Linked DNA regions of Callithrix jacchus. The protein of the gene in region 2 purifies or fractionates together with the protein of the main gene of each other region. This does not show direct contact. Links are inferred from orthologs where the notes say so. Each region holds a gene or a part of one and is shown on either strand. Other genes may lie near its edges. The genes, in order: SF3B1 and MFAP1.

Evidence for each region.
Region 1: the proteins of MFAP1 (region 2) and SF3B1 purify together in Homo sapiens (co-immunoprecipitation; 3 studies listed by BioGRID and IntAct, with this or other methods). This does not show direct contact. The link is inferred for Callithrix jacchus from reciprocal best matches to the Homo sapiens genes MFAP1 and SF3B1.

The regions. Positions count from the first base shown.
Region 1 is NC_133507.1:118,357,488-118,368,961, reverse strand, and holds the end of SF3B1 (splicing factor 3B subunit 1), read left to right. Parts: intron 1-635; coding exon 636-722; intron 723-848; coding exon 849-1,119; intron 1,120-1,540; coding exon 1,541-1,686; intron 1,687-1,776; coding exon 1,777-1,923; intron 1,924-2,070; exon of another isoform or gene 2,071-2,126; intron 2,127-2,143; coding exon 2,144-2,269; intron 2,270-3,075; coding exon 3,076-3,297; intron 3,298-3,582; coding exon 3,583-3,765; intron 3,766-3,850; coding exon 3,851-3,962; intron 3,963-4,992; exon of another isoform or gene 4,993-5,062; intron 5,063-5,445; coding exon 5,446-5,566; intron 5,567-5,908; coding exon 5,909-6,040; intron 6,041-7,663; coding exon 7,664-7,936; intron 7,937-10,154; coding exon 10,155-10,371; intron 10,372-10,867; coding exon 10,868-11,026; 3' UTR 11,027-11,344; downstream 11,345-11,474. UniProt on the Homo sapiens protein: Component of the 17S U2 SnRNP complex of the spliceosome, a large ribonucleoprotein complex that removes introns from transcribed pre-mRNAs.
Region 2 is NC_133509.1:31,479,301-31,491,851, forward strand, and holds the start of MFAP1 (microfibrillar-associated protein 1), read right to left. Parts: upstream 7,990-12,551; 5' UTR 7,854-7,989; coding exon 7,775-7,853; intron 482-7,774; coding exon 262-481; intron 1-261. Other genes in the region: WDR76 (WD repeat-containing protein 76), read left to right, coding at 10,300-10,359, 11,222-11,623. UniProt on the Homo sapiens protein: Involved in pre-mRNA splicing as a component of the spliceosome.

The DNA.
Region 1 (11,474 bases), on a different chromosome or scaffold from region 2:
ACTTTTTCAGTTAATGTTAAATTTACATATCCTCCTAGACCTTTTTTTTTTTGCACAACTACACGTCATACATGTACAAATACAATTATATACAGAATAAATGTACATACAGATGTACACATGTAAGTTTTTGTTACCTTTGTCATAAGAGGTTCATACTGTTTTTTCATTTGCTTTTATTGAGATTAGGATAAGAATATGTGATTCTGTATTATGCCATTTAGTGTTAAGAACCAGTGTTTTTACTGATGGTAATTATGGTACAGTATGTTCATAGGGTGTATAAATTATTTTTTTGAGTCGAAGTTTTGCTGTGTCACCCAGGCTAGAGTGCAGTGGCGCAATCTTGGTTCACTGCAACCTCCACCTCCCAGGTTCAAGCGATTCTCCCTCCCAAGTAGCTGGGATTACAAGCGCCTGCCACCATGCCTGGATAATTTTTTTATTTTTAGTAGAGGTGGGGTTTCACCATGTTGGCCAGGCTGATCTTGAACTCCTGACCTCAGGCGATCCACCCACTCAAAGTGGTGGGATTACAGGTGTTAGCCACCGCACCTGGCCATAAGTTATTTTTTTAAAAACATCAGTAATTGATGTCAAAGTGTAGCTTCTTCTCTTTTTTTTTTCTTTTTCAGATCCTCGTGGTCATTGAACCGCTATTGATTGATGAAGATTACTATGCTAGAGTGGAAGGCCGAGAGATCATTTCTAATTTGGCAAAGGTATTTACATTAAATTTCTAGAGAAGAAAATTTTTATCTGTTTGTGGAATTATTTGATTATGGAAGGAAATGGTTGAACATTAATATTGGCAACTGATGACTGTTCCTTTTTTCTTTACTTTTTAGGCTGCTGGTCTGGCTACTATGATCTCTACCATGAGACCTGATATAGATAACATGGATGAGTATGTCCGTAACACAACAGCTCGAGCTTTTGCTGTTGTGGCCTCTGCCCTGGGCATTCCTTCTTTATTGCCCTTCTTAAAAGCTGTGTGCAAAAGCAAGAAGTCCTGGCAAGCAAGACACACTGGTATTAAGATTGTACAACAGATAGCTATTCTTATGGGCTGTGCCATCTTGCCGCATCTTAGAAGTTTAGTTGAAATCATTGAACATGGTAAGTTGCAATGTAACTTTGTCTTTTTTTTCTCTTTAAGAGGTAAGGTCTTTACTATGTTGCCCAGACTGGACTCAAACTTCTGGGCTCAAGTGATCCTCCTGCCTCAGCCTCCTGAGTAGCTGGGACTAGAGGTACACACAAAAGCCTGTCTACATTTAATAGGACAGCTGTCCTAAAATTTGGGCTACTGATTTGGGGAGATAAATGGAAGGGCGTAACTGTACAAACTATATATTTTATGGGTTTGTGATGTTATCTGCTAACAGGCTGTGGTTCATATTTGCTTTTACCTAATTTTGTCTAATGTGAGCACATTCTGCAGTTTAGCTAAATAGTTGATATAGTGCAAGAATCTGGATGATATTGTATAACTTAGGTAATGTTGGTGCATAGTTAAAACCTGTGTTTGGTTTTGTAGGTCTTGTGGATGAGCAGCAGAAGGTTCGGACCATCAGTGCTTTGGCCATTGCTGCCTTGGCTGAAGCAGCAACTCCTTATGGTATCGAATCTTTTGATTCTGTCTTAAAGCCTTTATGGAAGGGTATCCGCCAACACAGAGGAAAGGTAAATCCACCAATTACTTTTTGATTTCTCTTCATTAAGGTGACATAAATCTAAATTACTAAACTACATTTATTTTTTATTTAAAAACAGGGTTTAGCTGCTTTCTTAAAGGCTATTGGGTATCTTATTCCTCTCATGGATGCAGAATATGCCAACTACTATACTAGAGAAGTGATGTTAATCCTTATTCGAGAATTCCAATCTCCTGATGAGGAAATGAAGAAAATTGTGCTGAAGGTATTTATTCCAAATTTGTTAACGTAAACCGGGTTTGTTTAATGGTTCTTAGATAATTTTAAAGTGTTTTTTTAAAAAACAACAGCAAAAGAAAACTATGTTACACCAGTACTGTTTGATTTGTTTTAAATTTTATTTTTCAATATCAAGTAATCAGCAATGAGTATTCTCTTCATTTCAGGTCAGTTGATTTATTATTACTGTTTTTTTAACCTTTTAGGTGGTAAAACAGTGTTGTGGGACAGATGGTGTAGAAGCAAACTATATTAAAACAGAGATTCTTCCTCCATTTTTTAAACACTTCTGGCAGCACAGGATGGCTTTGGATAGAAGAAATTACCGACAGGTAAGCTTTTATTGTAAAAAAAATATTCTCAAAAATCCTTTATACTCATTTTTTATTTCGTTGAATCCATGTTGCATATTATTTTTTTGCTTTGATTATCTCACAGTTCATATGTGCTTGATTATGAAAGGAGGTGGAGGCCGGGTGCGGTGGCTCACGCCTGTAATCCCAGCACTTTGGGAGGCCGAGGCGGGTGGATCACGAGGTCAAGAGATCGAGACCATTCTGGTCAACATGGTGAAACCTCGTCTCTACTAAAAATACAAAAAATTAGCTGGGCACGGTGGCGCGTGCCTGTAATCCCAGCTACTCAGGAGGCTGAGGCAGGAGAATTGCCTGAACCCAGGAGGCGGAGGTTGCAGTGAGCCCAGATCACACCATTGCACTCCAGCCTGGGTAACAAGAGCGAAACTCCGTCTTTAAAAAAAAAAAAAAAAAAAAAAAAAAGAAAGAAAGGAGGTGGATTTTAGTCAGCTGGTTAACTTCCATTTTGACTTGGCATTCAAGGATCAATACTCAACTGTGAATTGATGTTTTTGTCTGGTAAATCCAGTGCTTTATCTGGCTAGGTGAAACATGGATACAGTTTACCTACCTTGAATCACGTTAGCTTATACTCATTCTTAAATTGTTTGGTCACTTTTCTCTTCAACTTTAATAAATAGCAATGAATCATTCATGGTATGTTTACTAGCTAAATAATACATTTAGAGTATTTGGTTTTTATGATGTTGCTTTGTTTCCTTGGAAAAGCAGTCTAAAAGAGGTGTTTTTTTTTTGTTGTTGTTGTTTTTTGTTCTTTTTAGTTAGTTGATACTACTGTGGAGTTGGCAAACAAAGTAGGTGCAGCAGAAATTATATCCAGGATTGTGGATGATCTGAAGGATGAAGCCGAACAGTACAGAAAAATGGTGATGGAGACAATTGAGAAAATTATGGGCAATTTGGGAGCAGCAGATATTGATCATAAACTTGAAGAACAACTGATTGATGGTATTCTTTATGCTTTCCAAGAACAGACTACAGAGGTAATGATAACTAATTATTATGGCACACTGCCACTGACTTTCATATTTTTAGAAGAAGCATATTACTTGTCAAGCAAATTTTTCTAAAATGCAGTTGTATTTGAAGTAATTTTTAAAATGCTCCTGTTCTTGGATACCAAAAAAATATTCTATCTCAAGTTTTAAGATTTGATGTAAAAAAACAACAGATGTTTTGGTGGTTGAAAAAGATTGACTATTAGTATATTTCAACTGTGTAGTCATAAAGAAACCAAATGATTGTGTCTTTTTATTTATTTATTTTAGGACTCAGTAATGTTGAATGGCTTTGGCACAGTGGTGAATGCTCTTGGCAAACGAGTCAAACCATACTTGCCTCAGATCTGTGGTACAGTTTTGTGGCGTTTAAATAACAAATCTGCAAAAGTTAGGCAACAGGCAGCTGACTTGATTTCTCGAACTGCTGTTGTTATGAAGACTTGTCAAGAGGTAAAGTTTTGTGTCAAATTTTTACTTCTTCACTAAATAGTTTAATGTAAATGGTAACATTTTAACATTATTTGTTTTATTATAGGAAAAATTGATGGGACACTTGGGTGTTGTATTGTATGAGTATTTGGGTGAAGAGTACCCTGAAGTATTGGGCAGCATTCTTGGAGCACTGAAGGCCATTGTAAATGTCATAGGTATGGAGTTTGCTGGTTGCATAAGACTTTTTCTTGTTTTGTTTAACTTTCTTTTTTCTTATTTTAAGTAAAATACAGAGTCTTATTTAGGTGTTGGGAGGTTTTTGTTACTTTTTTAAAAGCACTTCAAGATTGTAGTTAAGTCAGGGGATGCCACAAAAGTCTTGTTTCCCAAAACCCGTTTATATGTTACTTCAAAGAGAAAAAAAGGGCAAGTTTGGGACCTACAGGAGAGGTGGGAGTAGTCACAATTCCAAAAGCTTTGAGGTTATGGAATATAGGACCCTAGTAAAAATGGTGTGTCAGCTGAAATATATTCTGCAGGGCAAAAAGGCAACCCTGAAGTTTTAATTTAGTTTTAGAATTATATATAAATATATATATAATCTTGAATTAGTAAGTGATTATGACAGTTTTTTTTACTTACCATCAGTTTCAAGGAGTATAATCAGAAAAGTGAATTGATCAAATTATTTTCTTAAATTTATTTATATACCCAAGTTTTAAAAATTGTCTGTTGAATTTTCTAACCCAAAACACAGTTATATTACAAATGGTCTTAGATACGGAGAGCAAAGTTTTTATTCTGTTAGGTCAGTATGACCAAGAAAAGACATGGGTTCTTGTATTTAATCTTTTTTTAAAAAATTTATTATGACTGTTGACAAATGTAACTCCTGCAGAGTTTAGAGGGTCTGATAACCTAGCAGAAGTCAAAATAGCTGACTGTAAGAGAGCCACTGTTTGTTTTTTTCTCATTAGATATAAAAAGTTTTTATGCAATTTATATCTTTATACTATTCTATTTGCATATAATCTCCAATGCAGCCCAGTCCTCTATACTTGAAGATAGTTACTTGCCAAAAATCATTTACACAGCCATTTGTAGGCCTCTGGTTTGCAGGGAGTTTCAAACTGTATTATTTGTCAGAGAGAGGCATGGGAAGAGCAATGGAGAGAGAATCAGAGCACGCGATTCTAGTTAGAGCAAGAGCCCCTGCCAGCTGCCTCCTTTTTTCTCTCTTCATAGGTGTAAATACCATCCAAGTATGCCCTGCATTGCAGGGAGACTGGAGATCTGTTTGTTTTGCAGTTAAAGGGTAAGGGGGCCCTTTCTGGAAATTTTTGCTTTATTTACATGTTTACCTCTGGCTTATATTGTTGTGTACGGCCGGAACATAAGCTGTCCCCATATTTAAATGTCAGTACACAAATACATTTCAGAACCAAACAAAACTTTTTTGTTATTGAGTATCCATCATTTAAATCACTTCACTGATTTCTTTCATTTCTATGCATAATCAAAAGTTGTTAATGAAAGTTAAAAACGATTCTGAATCTGGTCAGAATCTGGGCTTTCTCTTTCCAAAGGCAGCTGTAAGTTTATATTTATGCACAGTCATATATGACATTGCTAAGTAAAAGGAAAGTGAACAAAAGTTGCAATTTAAATGTTGATAGTGTATTGACTTCTATTAAATAGGTATGCATAAGATGACTCCACCAATTAAAGATCTGCTGCCTAGACTCACCCCCATCTTAAAGAACAGACATGAAAAAGTACAAGAGAATTGTATTGATCTTGTTGGGCGTATTGCTGACAGGTAAGCAGATTACCCAAACATTTTTATAAGCAATATCAGTTTTCAAGTTTGGCCACTTTTTATTCAATTAGCAAAATTTTTTTAATGTCACTAATATAAGTGTATATGATTAGGCTATCCAGTATTAATATTTTCAGTCAAATTTCATTTTGGATGGTAATGGGGTGGCAATATAATTTTAAGACTAAACCTTTAAGACTAACTCTAACCTTTCTGAAGAGTAATAACTTTTATTTAATGCTTAAAATGAGCTAGCAATCATGTTTTTAGAACTGAATTTGCAAATTTACCCTTAAAACTTAATGTCACAAAAATTAATATGTGTATTTCTTTTTTAATTAGGGGAGCTGAATATGTATCTGCAAGAGAATGGATGAGGATTTGCTTTGAGCTTTTAGAGCTTTTAAAAGCCCACAAAAAAGCTATTCGTAGAGCCACAGTCAACACATTTGGTTATATTGCAAAGGCCATTGGGTGAGTGTTATTTACTTCCATTAAAAAAAAATTATAGTAAATCCGTTGTGGTGTTGAAATCTCTTTTGAGGCATGGTCTGAGTAATGCAGTTGCAAAAGCACTTCATTTAACCGCTGACCTTCTGATTATTGGAATGCATTCTTAAATTCAATTCTTTCTTTTTTTTTTTTTTTCTTTTCGAGACAAAGTCTTGCTCTGTTACTCACTGCTAGAATGCAGTGATGTGATCTGCAACCTCCACCTTCTGGGTTCAGGTGATTCTCCTGTCTCAGCCTTCCCAGTAGCTGGGACTACAGGTGTTGCACCACCACACCTGGCTAATTTTTTGTATTTTTTAGTAGAGACGAGGTTTTTACTATGTGGGCGAGGCTGCTCTTGAACTCCTGACCTCAAATGATTCACCTGCCTTGGCCTCCCAAAGTGTTGAGATTACAGGTGTGAGCCATTGCGCCCAGCCTGTAGTCTTAAATTTTTAATTGAATTAAAATAAATTTACTTTAATTATATGTTAGGTATTTTCAGGGAGAGAAACAGTACCATTTTCAGAAAAATTTTAAATGTGTATTGGTTTTTTGGATATTGCTTAAACTATAAAGGCAAGTTTTTAATCTTACAGCATCATTTAAGTCTCATATTGAATGCTCTGTGTTTTAAAAATTTTATTATGGATTGCTTGAGCTTAGGAGTTCAAGGTTACGGTGAGCTGTGATTGTGCCACTGTACCCCAGCCTGGGCACCTGGGCCCAGGACAAGACCCTGTCTCTAAAAAAACAACAAAAATGCTATTCTAACATTAATCCACAGATTTAACTGAATTATAGCTGCTTTGTGAAATAATCTGTGGTTGTTTACTTCCACTCCATTACAACTAAAGTGGGAAAAAGCAGTCATTATAGAAAACGAGACACTGCGTGTTCATGTGGCTTAAGTAAGAAAATGTTTTTAAGGAATATGACATGCGAATGTCTGATTCCTTAGTTAGAATTAACCAGACCATACTCTCTCTCTTAACACATACTCATTCCTCTCCTATTTTGGTAGCATAATATTTATTTTAGTGGTGATGGAGTCAAGAAATTTGCAGCCAATAGCTGTTGTGCAAGCTTTTAGCCTCAGTGTCCCATAAGCTTATGTCAAAGAAGAGGTGAATAGATGCAGCAAATTGTGTGGGAGGGAATATGAAAGGAAAAAAGATTTCATATGGTTTATAGTGGGAGACTGCAATTTGGATACTCATACCTAGTTCTAGTGCCCATTTTGACAACTCAGAGAATTACTCACTTTAAACATTTACTTACATTTCTTTATATATCAGAAAGTTTAAAGACTGAACATTGAGAATTAATTTGAGTTAACTTAACATTTTTAGAATTCATACAGCTATGGCCTCTGATCTCAGAGTTAACTTTTAAAAACTGATCTTTTAATTTATATGAAATTTTCATATAGAAACAACAATGCCAGTGACTTGAAAATACTGCATTTTTATCATAAAATTACTGAGCTCCCTGTCATTAGTATTTAAAAGTTTTCATCCTCATGCGTTTTTTTCTTCCATAAATTTTTGACTTATGGAAATCAAAGTTCGACTTATTATTGTTGACCCATTTGTTTTTTTTCAGCCCTCATGATGTATTGGCTACACTTCTAAACAACCTCAAAGTTCAAGAAAGGCAGAACAGAGTTTGTACCACTGTAGCAATAGCTATTGTTGCAGAAACGTGTTCACCCTTTACAGTACTCCCTGCCTTAATGAATGAATACAGAGTTCCTGAACTGAATGTTCAAAATGGAGTGTTAAAATCACTTTCCTTCTTGTTTGAATATATTGGTGAAATGGGAAAAGACTACATTTATGCTGTAACACCATTACTTGAAGATGCTTTAATGGATAGGTAAGTGACTTGAACTAAATACAGGAAAATAATTATAACTCTTCCTTCATTTTAGAACATCCTGAAATAGTTATTAGATGACTTTTCATTGTAATGTAGATAAAGAAAAAAATGCTAGCCTGGAGTCTTAGGACATTGTAAATATGACTTATTATTTAAAATAATGTGCACATTGTAGTGATTCTCCAAAGTTTCTTTCAAGTTCCCCACCTCCCTTTAAATCTCTTTTCATATCTGTTGAACTACATTTTGAAAAGGGTTGATAATCTTTTGTTTTCAAAATTGGTCAAATATAGTTACAGGAATTGATGAGCAGGAGCTAGTCAGTGTGGCAGAGACCTGATGTTTTTTAGCTTTTTATTGTAGGTAAAGCACAGATTTCTCTTAAGCTTTCGAATTACTGAACATAGTCTGACAGAGCTGCACTCTTCCCATTGCAGATCCCTAGTGTTTCAGATGGTGACCACCAGTACAGTACTGTTTGAGTTATTTGACAGATTCCTAATACCTTTTACCATCTAGACTGATATTATAGCCGTAAACACAAAAGTAACTGAAGAAAGTGCAAAGGAAAGTGCAGGCATAGTAAAGGAAAGAACTGTTTAACTGGCTCTGTATTTTTCAGGAGAGATAAGTTACTCAAATCAGAGCCCATTCAAATACTTTTGTGTATAAATTAAAGTTATTCATTAATGACCTGAAAGGGAGACTTAAATGGACTCATCAAAAAGTTACCAGAATATATATATGCAAGACATGGAGACAAAGTAAGAATTGAGCTCTGTAAAAGCCTTGCTGCCCAGGGCAGAAAAAAATGAGGGTAAATTGCTCTTGCTCCATACTCCTCATTGAGAAGTGCCTGAGCACTATGGTTAAAAATTTTGTTCTGTGTACTAAATTAAAAATTTTAACTTTTACAGTTAAAAATTTTGTTCCGTATACTAAGAAGTTGGGGAGTAATTCCATTGAAAATTACTAAATGGAAAGAATACTTCAGTTGGAAGTTTTATTAATGAGGAATACTGCTTCATGCTTATGCTGAATGACATTATTAAAATAAACAAGAAAAACAAGGGTATTAATAAATACAAGCCTTTTTCTCTTATATCTTTGATATGGTCTGTCTTACTGTCTTTGGGACAAAATGTGGAAACTCATTTTCATACCTGTTGCAAATCCCAGTATGTTAGCCAATGAGTTCATACTTGGTTGAATAATTGTGGAATGAATCACTCATTGATTTTTCATAAACATAAATTCAGTTAATGTAGGAGATGATAGTTATTTCTGTAGGTTTGAAAAAATTATTGAGCTTTCTTCCTTTGCTCAAATTAAGTTACTGAATGAAGCATAAACTTTATGTGAGAAGGGAATTTAATTTTAATTCAGTTATCTATTATATGCCAGTATCTAAAGTACTGGTAAAAATTTAAGTTTATAATCAAGAGTTTAAAATGATTTGGGCAGCCAAGGCAGGAGGATGGCTTGATCCCAGGAATTCACAGCCAGCCTGGGCAACATAGCGAGGCCCTATCTCTAAAAATAAAAAAGAAAAATAAATTTTTTTTTTTTTTTAAACATTTTCACTCTTGTTGCCCAGGCTGGAGTGCAAGGGTGTGGTCTCGGCTCACTGCAACCTCTGTCCCCCTGGGTTCAAGTAATTCTCCTGTCTCAGCCTCTTGAGTAGCTGGGATTACAGGTGCCCAGCACTACTGGCTAATTTTTGTATGTTTAGTAGAGATAGGGTTTCGCCACGTTGGCCAGGCTGGTCTCGAACTCCTGACCTCAGGCAATCCACCCACCTTGGCCTCCCAAAGTGCTAGGGGATTACAGGCATGAGCCACCATGCCTGGCCTGAAAAATAATTTTTAAAAAAGTGTAAAATAAGTTATTACTGTTCATTATTCATAGTTAGAGTCACGTCTCCTCTTTAGTAGCATAACAAAGCCAAGACATCACAGAGCCCTTCTGCTCATATTCATTTTAAAAGTTAATTAGAAAATATGGCTTAATAGTTGAGCCATAGTGAAGCTTGAGTCATTAAAGCAAAAGTCCTCAAGTGGAAGCTTTAGTCATTCTAAAGGATATATTAGATACATGAAATGTTAGGATGACTTTACATCTGTTCAGTGCACTGAATTCGTTTTTAATAGGCAGGTGAATATTTCCTGTAAAACTAAGACCGTATCTTAAAGGATTTTTTTCCCTTCCTTTGTAGAGACCTTGTACACAGACAGACAGCTAGTGCGGTGGTACAGCACATGTCACTTGGGGTTTATGGATTTGGTTGTGAAGATTCACTGAATCACTTGTTGAACTATGTATGGCCAAATGTGTTTGAGACATCTCCTCATGTAATTCAGGCAGTTATGGGAGCCCTAGAGGGCCTGAGAGTTGCTATTGGACCATGTAGAATGTTGCAATATTGTTTACAGGTAAGGTAAAGATTTTCTTTTTAATTGTTGATTTTTTTTTTTTTAATTTAAAGTTGTGGGATACATGTCCTGAATGAGCAGATTTGTTATATAGGTATACATGTGCCATGGTCGTTTGCTACACCTATCAACCCATCATCTAGGTTTTAAGCCCCACATGCATTAGGTATTTGTCCTAATGCTCTCCCTCCCCTTTTTCCCCACCTCCTGTAAGTTAAAAGTTTTTAAAAGATTACTTAGCAAGAAAAAGTAGTGTGTTGAATTAAGTTACCTTTTCTGATTATCAATAAGGCTATATTGTGCTATATGGGAGAACAGTTGTGTGGTGAGGGAGGAGTTAGTTTTTTCTCTTCCGTTATAGTTTTGTGTAATTACTAGGTTCCCCCTCCCCAAGGGAAATAATTTTGAATCATATCTATATAGTTTGTTTGTTAATTTTGTTAAGGTTATGTATGTTCTTGAAAATTGAAATGATTTAACTGTTCAATTATTCTAGGGTCTGTTTCACCCAGCCCGGAAAGTCAGAGATGTATATTGGAAAATTTACAACTCCATCTACATTGGTTCCCAGGACGCTCTCATAGCACATTACCCAAGAATCTACAATGATGATAAGAACACCTATATTCGTTATGAACTTGATTATATCTTATAATTTTATTGTTTGTGTTTAATGCACAGCTATTTCACACCTTAAACTTGCTTCGATTTGGTGATGTAAACTTTTAAACATTGCAGATCAGTATAGAGCTGGTCATAGAGGAAGAGCTAGAAATCCAGTAGCATGATTTTTAAATAACCTGTCTTTGTTTTTGATGTTAAACAGTAAATGCCAGTAGTGACCAAGAACACAGTGATTACATACACTATACTGGAGGGATTTCATTTTTAATTCATCTTTATGAAGATTTAGAACTCATTCCTTGTGTTTAAAGGGAATGTTTAATTAAGAAATAAACATTTGTGTACAAAATGCTAATTTGTGTCTGTTTTTTGAACATGACTTGTAAAATGCGGAACTTTGGTAAAGTATTGGTTTATGTGGATTAAGTGGCTTAATTTCATTTTCTGTCACCTGGTTTATAGAAAGTAGCAGAATAAAA
Region 2 (12,551 bases):
CTTTAGGCCAGAAATAAGCTGTTGTTTTCTGAAGCTGCCACTCTGTAACTTTGGTCATGTTACTTTCTTAGCCCCTTTGTGTTCTTAGTTTCCCCCTTTTGTGAAATTGGGATAATAGTACCTATCTTATACAGTTATTGTGTGAATTACAAGAATTAGAAAATGTAATCTACTTGGCAGTACTATTCAAGTATTAGCTATTATTGCTATTGCTAAGCTGTAGAGGTTCATGTTCAAGGAAAACACCATCATAGACATTACCTTTCTTCCACATCTTCACTAATACGGTTCTGCAAACGCCGTAGCCGTGGGTCACTAGATGAATCCTCCTCTTGTTCCTCAGGCTCTGCTTCTTGTTCTTTGGCTTTTTTAATGAACTGAAATTCTTCATCCTCCTCATCTGAGGACTCCATAGGGGCATAGTCTGGCCTCTTTCCGGACACATAACGTTTTACCTTCACTTTTTCCATTGAAATCTCACCTGGGCAAGAAAGGTAACTTACATTTTTTTCTCAATGTCCTTCAACCCATGGCCTTTACAAATAGAGCCCTTTATTCCTAGTAGACAAGAGTCTAAGCAGGAGAAGAAAGCCATTAACCAACCACCTATTCATCTAATAATGTTTTCCTACAAAGGCCAAGTCATGAGACTGCCTCCTTGTGAAAGCCAATACGAATGATAATGAGGCTTACCTTGAGTACAATGAAGTGGAGGAAGGTAGGCAGTGTAACAGTAGGAAAAAGTCCCCCTAAAAAGGGCAGACTGCATCCATCACAAATTCATGCTATTCTACCTCAACTATACCTTTAAACAAATTATTTTTAACAGTGCCCAGCACATAGTAAGAGTGATTTATATAGGAACATAACACTAAAATACTGCTCAGGCATTATTGTAGTTCCCTCTGGGATTTCCATGGCATCTTTTATAACATATTGCCACATGACTCAATATTCTAACCTTACCTATTTCTATCTTCTTTTCCTTTACCTTATGTGCTATCAAACCTGCAAGAGTAGGTAACTGTTTACAGATACAAACAATTCTAGTGAACAAGAGAGACAGTGAAAACTAACCAACTTATTTTATGAGTATAATCTTGATAACCAAATTGGACAGTTCAAAGGAAAACTTCAGGTGGATTTCACTTACAAACATCAATACAAAAATACTAAAATAAGAGCAAATTTATCCCAGCAGTATAAAAACTATCCAAAAACTACTTAAACAAAAAAACCCCTAAGTCAACACAGCTTATTAGAATTTAGCCCAAGACTACAAGGATAGTTTCACCTTAGAAAATTAACGAGGGGGCCGAGCGCGGTGGCTCACACCTCTGATCCCAGCATTTTGGAAGGTTGAGGCAGGAGATTGTTTAAACCCAGGATTTCAAGACCAGCCTGTGCAACACAGTTAGACTTCATCTCTACTAAAAGTAGAAAGAATTTTCTACAGACATGCATTTCTGGGCATGGTGGTGCATGTCTGTGGTCCCAAGCTACTTGGGAGGGTAAGATGGGAGAATTGCTTGAGACCAGGAGGTAGAGGCTGCAGCAAGCTGTGATCACACCCTGGCACTCACTCGACCCCAGGTGATAGAGTAAGACCCTGGGTCAAATACAAAAATATATATAGCTGGTACAGTGGCTCATGCCTGTAATCCCACCACTTTGGAAAGCTAAGGTGGGCAGATCAATTGAGGCCAGCTGTTCAAGACCAGCCTGGCCAACATGGTGAAACCCTGTCTCTACTAAAAATACAAAAATTGGCCAGGTGTGGTGGCACATGCTTGTTAATCCTGGATACTCAGGTGGCTAAGGTAGGAGAATCACTTGTACCTGGGTGGTGGAGGTTGCAGTGAGCTGAGATCACGCTACTGCACTCCAGCCTGGGAAACACAGCGAGACTGTCTTAAAAAATCATCTATCTATCTATCTATATTAATATACATAGGTAGATAGACAATGGGAGGGGAAGCAATATACTATTTTTAACTCATTTTTGTTATTTTTAAAAAGGTAGAGAGAGGGTCTCACTATGTTCCCCAGGCTGGCCTTGAACTCCTGGCCTCAAGTGATCCTCTAGCCTCAGTCTCCCAAAGTGCTGGGATTACAGGTGTGAGCCATCTCTCCTGGTCTACTATTTTTTAGTCACATTTTTTTTAAACGATACAGCAGACTTTATACTTAATGATAAAACAATGGAAGCATTCTATTGATTGATTGATTGAGATGGAGTCTTGCTCTGTCACCCATGCTACAGCACAGTGGCATGATCCCAGCTCACTGCACCCTCCGCCTCCTGGGTTCAAGCAATTCTCCCTGCCTCAGGCTCCTGAGTAGCTCGGATTACAGGTGCCCACCACCATGCCTGGCTAATTTTTTAATTTTTTATTTATTTATTTTTTTTGAGACAGAGTTTCACTGTTGTTACCCAGACTAGAGTGCAATGGCATGATCTCGACTCATCGCAACCTCCACCTCCTGGGTTCAAGGAATTCTCCTGCCTCAGCCTCTCAAGTAGCTGGGACTACAGGTGCACACCATCATGCCCAGCTAATTTTTGTATTTTTAGTACAGATGGGTTTCACCTTGTTGACCAGGATGGTCTCGATCTATTGACCTTGTGATCCCCCCCGCCTCAGCCTCCCAAAATGCTGGGATTATAGGCGTGAGCCACTGCAACCGGCCGATTTTTTATTTTTTAGTAGACAGGGTTTCACCATGTGGGCCAGGCTGGTCTTGAACTCCTGACCTCAGGTTGTCAGCCAGCCTCAGCCTCCCAGTGTGGGGATTACAGGTGTGAGCCACTGGGCCTGGCCAGAAGCATTCTCTATAAAAAACAGTGGGCATCCTAATGTTGTCCCTATCATACCCTCTAGTCAATACTGTATTATGGTTCTAATTTGGTCAGTAAGGAAAATTTATAAGGATTTTAAAGGGGGACATTGCCATAATTTGCAGATTATATGGTTGTCTTTGGAGAAAACACAAGATAACAGATAAGCTAAAAGAATTCAGAAAAAATGCTGGATATAAAACTTATTTATAAAAATAAGCATACCTGTATATTATTAGCTACATATAACTAGGAAATACAATTTCATTTTTATTTATTGATTTTCTTGAGACAGGGTCTAAATCACTCTGTTGCCCAGGCTGGAGTGCAGTGGCACAATCATGGCTCACCACAGCCTTATATGAGAACTCCCAGGCTCAAACTGTTCTCCTGCCTCAGCCTCCCAAGTAGCTGGGATTACAAAAAAATTATTTTTGGGACTATAAATTAAAAAAATTTTTTTTAAAGAGACAAGGTCTTACTATGTTGCCCAGGCTTGTCTTGAACTCCTGGGCTCAAGCAATCCTCTTGCCAAAGGCCTCCCAAAGTGCTGGGATTACAGGAGTGAGCCACCATGCCTGGTATATTTTTTACTTTTTGAGAAAGAGTCTCTGTCACCCACGCTGGTATGCAGTGGGATGATCACGGCTCACTGCAGCCTCAAACTCCTGGGCTAAAGTGATCCTCCCTCCTTAGCCTCTGGGTAGCTGGGACTACAGGCAGGTGCCACCCAGGTAATTTATTGTATTTTTTGTAGAGATGGGGTCTTCCTGTGTTGCCCAGGCTGGAGAAAATGAAGTTTTAAAATACCATGAAAAATCACAACGAATGTATAAAACAGTGAGGAATAAATCTAATAAACAATGTGCAGGCTTTTAGGGAAAAATGATATAATTTTATTGAAAGATGAAAAACATCTAAGATCTAAATAAACAAATACTTCACATTCAAAGATGAGAAGATGGCAGCTGTGCCTGAATTAACCTATAAATGTATAATCTATCATTTTAATGCTGTTCCATTAAAAGTTGTCGCTAGGCTTATTCCAAAATCATATGGAAGAACAGGAGGCCCCAAAGAACCAAGAAAATGCTGAAAAAGAATAAAAGCTGATGGGGGTGGGGAAGGAGGGTTAGGGAATAGCTTACCAGATATGTCAGTGACCCAGGAAGTACACAGAGATCAACTGAACAGAGTAGAGGGCAGAAAAACAAGCTTATATGAGAACTTGAGTATATTACAGAAGTGGCATTACAAATCAGTAGAGAGTGGATGGGCTAATCCATCAGCAGAGAAGGGACAATTGGCCAAACATATAGTAAAATTAGACCTCTAACTTCTACCATGGACACAAAAATTCCAGATGGATTAAAGACCCAACTATGAAAAATTTATCAGCTGGGCACGGTGGCTAACGCCTGTAATCCCAGCACTTTTGGGAGGCTGAGGCAGGCAGATCACGAGGTCAGGAGTTTGGGACCAGCCTGGCCAACATGGTGAAACCCCGTCTCTACTAAAAATTCAAAAATTAGCCGGGTGTGGTGGTGGGCACCTATAATCCCAGCTATTCCGGGTGGCTAAGGCAGGAGAATTGCTTGAACTCAAGAGGTGGAGGTTGCAGTAAGCCAAGATCGCACCACTACACTGCAGCCTGACAGAGCAAGACTTCATCTTGTGGGGGGAAAAAACTAAAACAAAAACAAACTTATCTTAAATATTTACATTCCCTACAGGACTGTAAGCTCCCTAACTTAAAGTGTGTTTTGTATAAGTATGTATTCAATCCAATTTAATATATACGAACACTCAGAAGCTAGAAAACCTTTACGAAAGCTGGGAATCCGGTGGCTCACGCCTATAATCCCAGCACTTTGGAAGGCCGAGGCGGGTGGATCACGAGGTCAAGAGATCGAGACCATCCTGGTCAACAAGATGAAACCCTGTCTCTACTAAAAATACAAAAATTAGCTGGGCATGGTGGTGTGCGCCTGTAGTCCCAGCTACTTGGGAGGCTGAGGCAGGAGAATTGCTTGAACCCAGGAGGTGGAGGTTGCGGTGAGCCGAGATCGTCCCACTGCACTCCAGTCTGGCTAACAAGAGCGTAACTCCATCTCAAAAAAAAAAAAAAAATAGCTGGGGACCATGGCTCACATCTGTAATTCCAGTACTTTGGGAGGCTGAGGCAGGTGGATCACCTGAGGTCAAGAGTTGGAGACATGGTGAAACACTGTCTCTACTAAAAATACAAAAATTAGCTGGGTGTAGTGGCGGGCGCCTGTAATCCCAGCTACTCGGGAGACTGAGGCAGAGAACTGCTTGAACCCAGGAGGCAGAGGTTGTAGTGAGCTAAGATCGCAATTCTGCACAGAGTGAGACTCCATGTAAAAAAAAAACAACAAAAAAACTTTGAGAACCTCAGAGCTTTATTTCCCATATATTCATCATTTACACACTTGGTTGTATCAGATTTTTACATTTTTGCCCAATCTAACAGGTGGAACAGGTGTGAAATGGCATCTTGTTATTCTAATTTGCATTCCCCTGATTACTAGTGATGCTGGGCATCTTGTTCATGTGTCTAATACGCTCTCTAGGTTTAGCCACCACACCCAGCTAATTTTTGTATTTTTAGCAGAGATGGGATTTCACCATGTTGGCCAGGCTACTCTTGAACTCCTGACTTCGTGATCCTTCCGCCTCATCCTCCCAAAGTGCTTGGATTACAGCTGCGAGTCACCACACCCAGCCTTTGAGACAGAGTTTTGCTTTTGTTACCCAGGCTGGAGTGCAATGGCGTGATCTCGGCTCACCGTAACCTCCGCCTCCTGGGTTCAGGCAATTCTCCTGCCTCAAACTCCCGAGTAGCTGGGATTACAGGCACACGCGACCATGCCCAGCTAATTTTTTTTGTATTTTTTAGTAGAGACGGGGTTTCACCATGTTGACCAGGATGGTCTCGATCTCTTGACCTTGTGATCCATCCGCCTCGGCCTCTCAAAGTGCTGGGATTACAGGCGTGAGCCACTGCGCCCGGCCTTGTTTTGAAGAGACAGGGTCTCAAGGTGTTGCACAGGCTGGAGTATAACGGCACAATCATAGCTCACTGCAGCTTTGAACTTCCGGGCATTAAGTGATTCTCCTGCTTTGGCTTCCCCAAAGTAGCAGGAACACATCACTACATCCAGCTAATTTTAAATTTTTTTGTAGAAATGAGAGTCTTGCTATGTTGCCCAAGCTGGTCTTGAACTCCTGGCCTCTAGTGATCCTCCTGCCTCAGCTTGCTGAAGTGAGGGATTACAGGTGTGAGCCAATGTGCTCCACAAATTCTTATATTCTTTTTTGTTTTTGTTTTTTGAAACAGTCTTGCTCTGTTGCCAGGCTGGAGTGCAGTGGTGCGATCTCAGCTCACTGCAACCTCTGCCTCCCGGGTTCAAGGGAGTTTCACCATGTTAGCAGGATGGTTTTGATCTCTTGTCCTCATGATTCGTCCACCCTGGCCTCCCAAAGTGCTGGGATTACAGGCATGAGCCACCACGCCCGGCCAAATTCTTACATTTTTACAACTCACTTTGGAGAGGTATTAAAGCTGAATTGGCTAAAGAACAACAACTGCAGAACTTGAACTTGTAGCTGGATTACAGGTGCCTGCCACCACGCCTTGCTAATTTTTTGTATTTTAGTAGAGATGGGGTTTCGCCACGTTGGCTAGGCTGGTCTGGAACTCCTAGCCTCAGGTGATCCGCCACCTCAGAGGTGTGAGCCACAGTGCCCAGCCGCAGCACTTTTTTAACAGGGGGAAAAAAACAGCAATGGGACAACTACCTGCCCCTCAGGAGGGAATAAACTGTGGGTTACAGTTTATTTAATTAATTAATTTATTTTTTTTGAGACCGAGTCTCGCTTTGTTGCCAGGCTGGAGTGAAGTGGCGCGATCACGGCTCACTGCAACCTCCGCCTCCCAGGTCCAAGCAATTCTCCTGCCTCAGCGTCCCAAGTAGCTGGGACTGTACAGGTGCACACCACCATGCCCAGCTAATTTCTGTATTTTTAGTAGAGTCGGGGTTTCACCATGTCGGCCAGGATAATCTCCATTTCTTGACCTTGGGATCCACCTGCCTTGGCCTCCCAAAGTGCTGGGATTACAGGCGTGAGCCACCGCCTCTGGCTGGTTACAGTGTACACAATGGAATTCATAAGCAGTTCAGATGAATAAATATCTATAGGGATTCAAAGATAATTCCCAAAATCCATGTTGAGGCTAGACACGGTGGTGTCTACCTGGGAGGCTGAGGCAGGAGGACAGCCGGAGTCCAGGACGTCGAGTCCAATCTGGGCAGCATAAGCAGTCTTCTATGGACAGCAAAAGAGGGACTATATCCCGCACAATGCCCAGCAAATAGGCATTCTCTCTGTCTATGTATCTACCTACCTACATATCTATCTAGTCTGATATTATATATTTATATTCTGATATATACTTAAGTCCCTAATTATTAGATTAATATATATATACTTAAGTTCCTAAGTAGACTAATACATATATTCTAGTAATATGTAGTGATATTATATTCTAATATTAGACTAATACATATATTCCAGGATATTAGACATCTATATTCTGATATATAGTTAAATTCCTAAGTAACTATTAAGTACTTTTATATATGTAATATATATAATGTACATATTAGTCTAAGGAATTTGTGTAGGCTAAGGGGTGCTTGCTGAATATGAGAGCAGGCCACAGGAAGAAGATCGGATGCGAGTGGGTGGGGGTGGAAAGGTCGAAGAATTTGGGAGCCAAATCTTGAGAGCTGGCGGGATAGAAGTGGTCTGTCTGGGAGAGACAGACCTCTCCAGACCTGGGAGAGATCTGGAGGTTGCTGGGGCCGAAAGAGTAAAATTCGGCTGGGAAGAGGGTTGTCAGCACCGTACCTTTCTCATTGCGAACCGGGACGGCCCCAGCCGTAGACTGAATGGGCGGTTGCTTCATGAGAGCGCTTGGGACCGACATGTTGATGGCAGCGACGGTGATTCCCGAAACTTGACTAATTCCAAACAGTGAACACCAACAACGTCAACGAAGAGAAGCGATCCCTTCCACCTACGTTCACGAACACAGCTGCTCGACTGATAGCGAAACCGCTTACGGCTGGGCTAGATAAACCGGAAATATGTAACGAGAGGATTGTGGGACGGTGGAGGACCTATGAGCGCCCACAGCTAGGAAGTTGCGTCTGTTTCTGCGCCTGCTCTTCGGCTGCCCTCGGGTCCTCTACGTCGCAGAAATTGGAAACCGCCTTTGGCGGGAAATTTTGCTTCTTTTGGGCTTTGCTGGTAGGACCGGCGGACCCTGCGGTGAGGAAGGTTCTAATGAAAGGTTCCACGTGTTAGGTTGGTTAGAAGCCAAGAACAGCATAATTAATAAGAAACTGAGGCGCCAGTGAGTTGCCGTTTGGCTTGTTGAAAGCTCAGAAAAAGTAGAGTTAGATGGAGTAAAAATCTTGGTAATAGTATCTGATTAGGTCAGTTGATGAGGCCAGTGTGAGCTGTGGTGCGGTATTTGGTGTCACACAGGGCAGGTGGTGCTGATTTAATCCAGTGACCAAAAAAAAAAAAAAAAAAAAAAAAATCCCCCAAGGTGCCTGAGACATTGCCTGCCCGAAATCCCAAAACTCCACTTCTAGGCTTTCAGGTTCTTCCACTGGTAGTTGGAAACTACCTATTAAAATATATTCCTGGCTGGAAAGTGTTTGCATTTAAGTTTCTAGGTAATTATTATTTTGAGACAGGGTTTTTTTTTTTTTGAGGCAGAGTTTCGCTGTTACCCAGACTGGAGTTCAATGGCACGATCTCCAGCCTCTGCCTTCTGGGTTCAAGCAATTCTCCTGCCTCAGCCTCCCGAGTAGCTGGGACTACAGGCGCGCACCACCATGCCCAGCTAATTTTTGTATTTTTAGTAGAGACAGGGTTTCACCTTGTTGACCAGGATGGTCTCGATCGCTTGACCTCGTGATCCACCCACCTCGGCCTCCTAAAGTGCTGGGATTATAGACGTGAGCCACCGCGCCCCACCGAGACAGGGTCTTGTTCTGTCACCCAGGCTGGAGTGCAGTGGCGCGATCTCGGCTTACTGCAGTCTCCACCTCTCGGGTTCAAGTAATTCTTGTGTCTCAGCCTTCTGAGTAGCTGGGATTACAAGCACCCGCCACCACGCCCTGCTGATTTTTGTATTTTTAGTAGAGGCGGTTTTACCGAGTTGGCTGGGGTCAAGGGATCCACCCACTCCGGCCTCCCACAACCTGGTAATTTTTGTGTTTTTAGTAGAGGCGAAGTTTCACCATGTTGCTCAGGCTGGTTTTGAACTCCTGACCTCTGATGATCCGCCCGCCTCGGCCTCCCAAAGTGCTGGGATTACAGATGTGAACCACCGCGGCCGGCCTATTTAAGAACTCTTTAAGGACTTGTAGAATAATAACAGAAGCAGCCCCAATTTACCAGCTGGGTTGTGTAAAAAAAGAAAAAAAAGAAAAAAAGGGAAAGGGCATATTTCACAGTAGGAAGGACTTTATCATTGTGGGGGACACAAGGGACAGCAGAAACAGTCTTGCAGTCCAGAAACTGTGCATTATACAGGACACCATGAAAAGTTTGGTTTTATCAGTAATTTTTGAGTCGTGGAGGGCCTTGAAGTTGCTGTTAATATGATTTACCCAAATTACTTCAACTGTATTCTATACAGTTGGGCCTTGGGTGGACCAGTCTCAGTCAGGTAACAGTGTGGGACCCAGTTAAGCAACTAAGGAAACAGTTTTGGGCTAGAAGGAACCTTAAACAGAAGAATAGCCAAAATCTTATTTTATATTTATTTATAAAAGAGACAGGGTTTTGCTGTCGCCCAGGCTGGAGTGCCGCAGCATGATGCCTCACTGGCTACATCCTTCTAGGTTCAAACCATTTTCCCACCCCTGCCTTCCGAGTATCTGGGACTACAGACGCACAGCACCACGCAGGACTAATTTTTGTATTTTTTGTAGACATAGGGTCTCACTATGTTGCCTAGGCTGGTTTCGAAGTCCTGGGCTCAAGCGATCCGCTCCTCTCGGCCTCTCAAAATGTTGGGATTACAGGCGTGAGCCATTGCGCCCGGCCTGCCAGTGTTTTGCAGAGCGGCATCCTAGTACCACCAGAATCAGAATCACCAGTCAAAGGTAAAAATGTCAATTCAGACCAAGTACATCCCTAAGGAATTTTCAGTCTAGGGCTTTAAGATGGCTTTCTTAAGAGGCGCGCGCAACCGGGTCTTCCTGCTACTGCGCTGCGACCGCGGTGGTGCTAGTGGGTTCCGCCGCGTCCCGGCCCCGCCCCGTCCTGCCCTACTACTCGCGGCCTCGCTCCACCCCTCCCGGCCTCCTGCCGCAATCTTGGCGGGAAGGCGCCGGCCGCTAAGCAGCCGAAAGATGTCCGGGTCGGACGCGGCGGCTGAGAAGGCGAACTCCAGACAGCGACCCCAGATGAAGGTGAGAAACGGGTTGGTGCTTCCGGGTGTGCTTCTGCCTCGGTTTCTGTGGGGTTCTGCGGGATACAGGCCTGGGAGGTCGAGAGCACCTGGCATTGGGGGTAGGCGGGGATCCCTGCCCTGAGGCCTTCAGCGTCGTCGAAAAGTTTAATCAATAATCCTAGAAATAGCGGGAGGGTCAGATCTGGGATTCGCTTTCTTCAGCCTTCTGCGTTTGCTTTTGTCACACTTATGGTCAGCTTCACACTCTAAATCATTCCATCCGCAGCTGGCAGTTGCGGTAATTGCCTCTGTCATAAATGCTAGTCATTATTATTATTGGTCTGGCAAACTCTTATGGGCAAGAAATATGCCAAGTAAATGAATTCTATTGAGGTTAAGGTTAATGAATTACATATCTAGATTTTGGAAGGGAGAAAAAGTTTTCTTACAGGCTATCAATTTGGATTTATTTATTTATTTGAGACAGTTTTGCTCTGTTGCCTAGGCTGGTGTGGAGTGGCGCAATCTCGGCCCACTGCAACCTTCGCCTCCTGGGGTTCAAGCGATCCTCCTGACTCAGCCTGCCGAGTAGCTGGGATTACAGGCATGCACCACCACACTCAGCTAATTTTTCTATTTTTAGTAGAAGCGGGGTTTCATCCTGTTGGCCAGGCTGGTCTTGAGCTCCTGACCTCAGGTGATCCACCTTCCTTGGCCTCCCAAAGTGCTGGGATTACAGGTGTGACCCACCTCACCTGGCCTCAATTTGGATTTATATTGTCATCGTGAAATGGGAATTATTAGATCTGTTAGGGATCCTGTAAGGAAAGGCACAGAACTTGGAATTCTTATATTCTCTTTTCTTTTATTGATCTGAATAGGTAAATGGATATAAAGAAAATCAAAACATCGCTTATGTGTCTCTGAAACCAGTGCAGACTACAGTTTCAATAAAAACAGCTACAGTCTATCTTACCCCCTTTTCACTCAGTAATTATCAGCTAGACCAGCTTATGTGCCCCAAATCCCTATTAGAAAAGAATTCTAACAATGAAGTGGCGTGTAAGAAGACTAAAATAAAGAAAACTTGCAGAAGGATTATACCTCCAAAGATGAAAACCACATCTTCCAAGGCAGAATCCACACTGCAAAATCCATCCTCAGCTGTTCATACTGAAAGTAACAAGTTACAACACAAGAGAAGGACAGATGCGATGAATCTCGGTGTTGATACGGAAAGTAGTCAGGATGGAGACAGTGCTGAAGATATCACACCAGGCCTGGTAAGAACTTAATTAGTAGCTTGTTCTAGTTTCTCTTAAAGTTTGGAAATTTGATGTTCTGATAAAGCGAAGTTTATCAAGGATCTCTCTAATACAAACAAATTATTTCATCATTAATGTGTAACAATAAATTTCTATTATTTTTAAGGTTTAACAAGTAACTTACTTGGATTAATTTTGCTCTTGCTGTGTGTCAATGAGAGGATTGACTTAATCTTTACTCTGTTTCCCTTTTACTCCCTCTAAACTTACTGCATTTATTTTTGGGCTTACTCATACTTTATGGTGCCTTGCTCACCATTACATGTTTATGTACAATATATCAGAAGTCGTCAGTTTGTGGGACATAAGGTATTGACTGACCCTTGATATCAGGGTAGGGAAACATTAATTAATTATATTGATTTGTTGAATATATTTCCTTTAAATGCAAAAGGGGACAAATGACAGAGTAGAGAAGATACATGAGAAACACATTAGTTCTATATAATTTCAATCAATTTAAGTAATTTGGTTTGTAATTCTTTTGGCTTCTGCCTACCAGGAGGGCTGTGCTCCATTCAAAGTGACAAACTTTACACAGGACAAGATAAAACCAAACATAGTACATAACACAATGTTGCTGGAACTCAGGGAACAGAAAATGATAGTAGGTAAAGGGAGATACTATAATTGAAGGGCATTGTTATGAAATAGAAATTTGGTTTATGTGCTCTCATCCCAGAGTTAAGAACCAGGACTCATAGTGAAACAGCATGGGGTAAGTGTTAAATGAATTGGACTTGGGGTTGAGAGTCTAGCACAGCCATTTCTAAGAAACCTGTTCCTTTAAACAAATCACCTTAGTGAGGGGACTGGATAAAATCTGTGGTTCTCAAACTTTAGGCTATATCAAAATTACCTGCAGAGTTTAAGACTGGATTGCAGG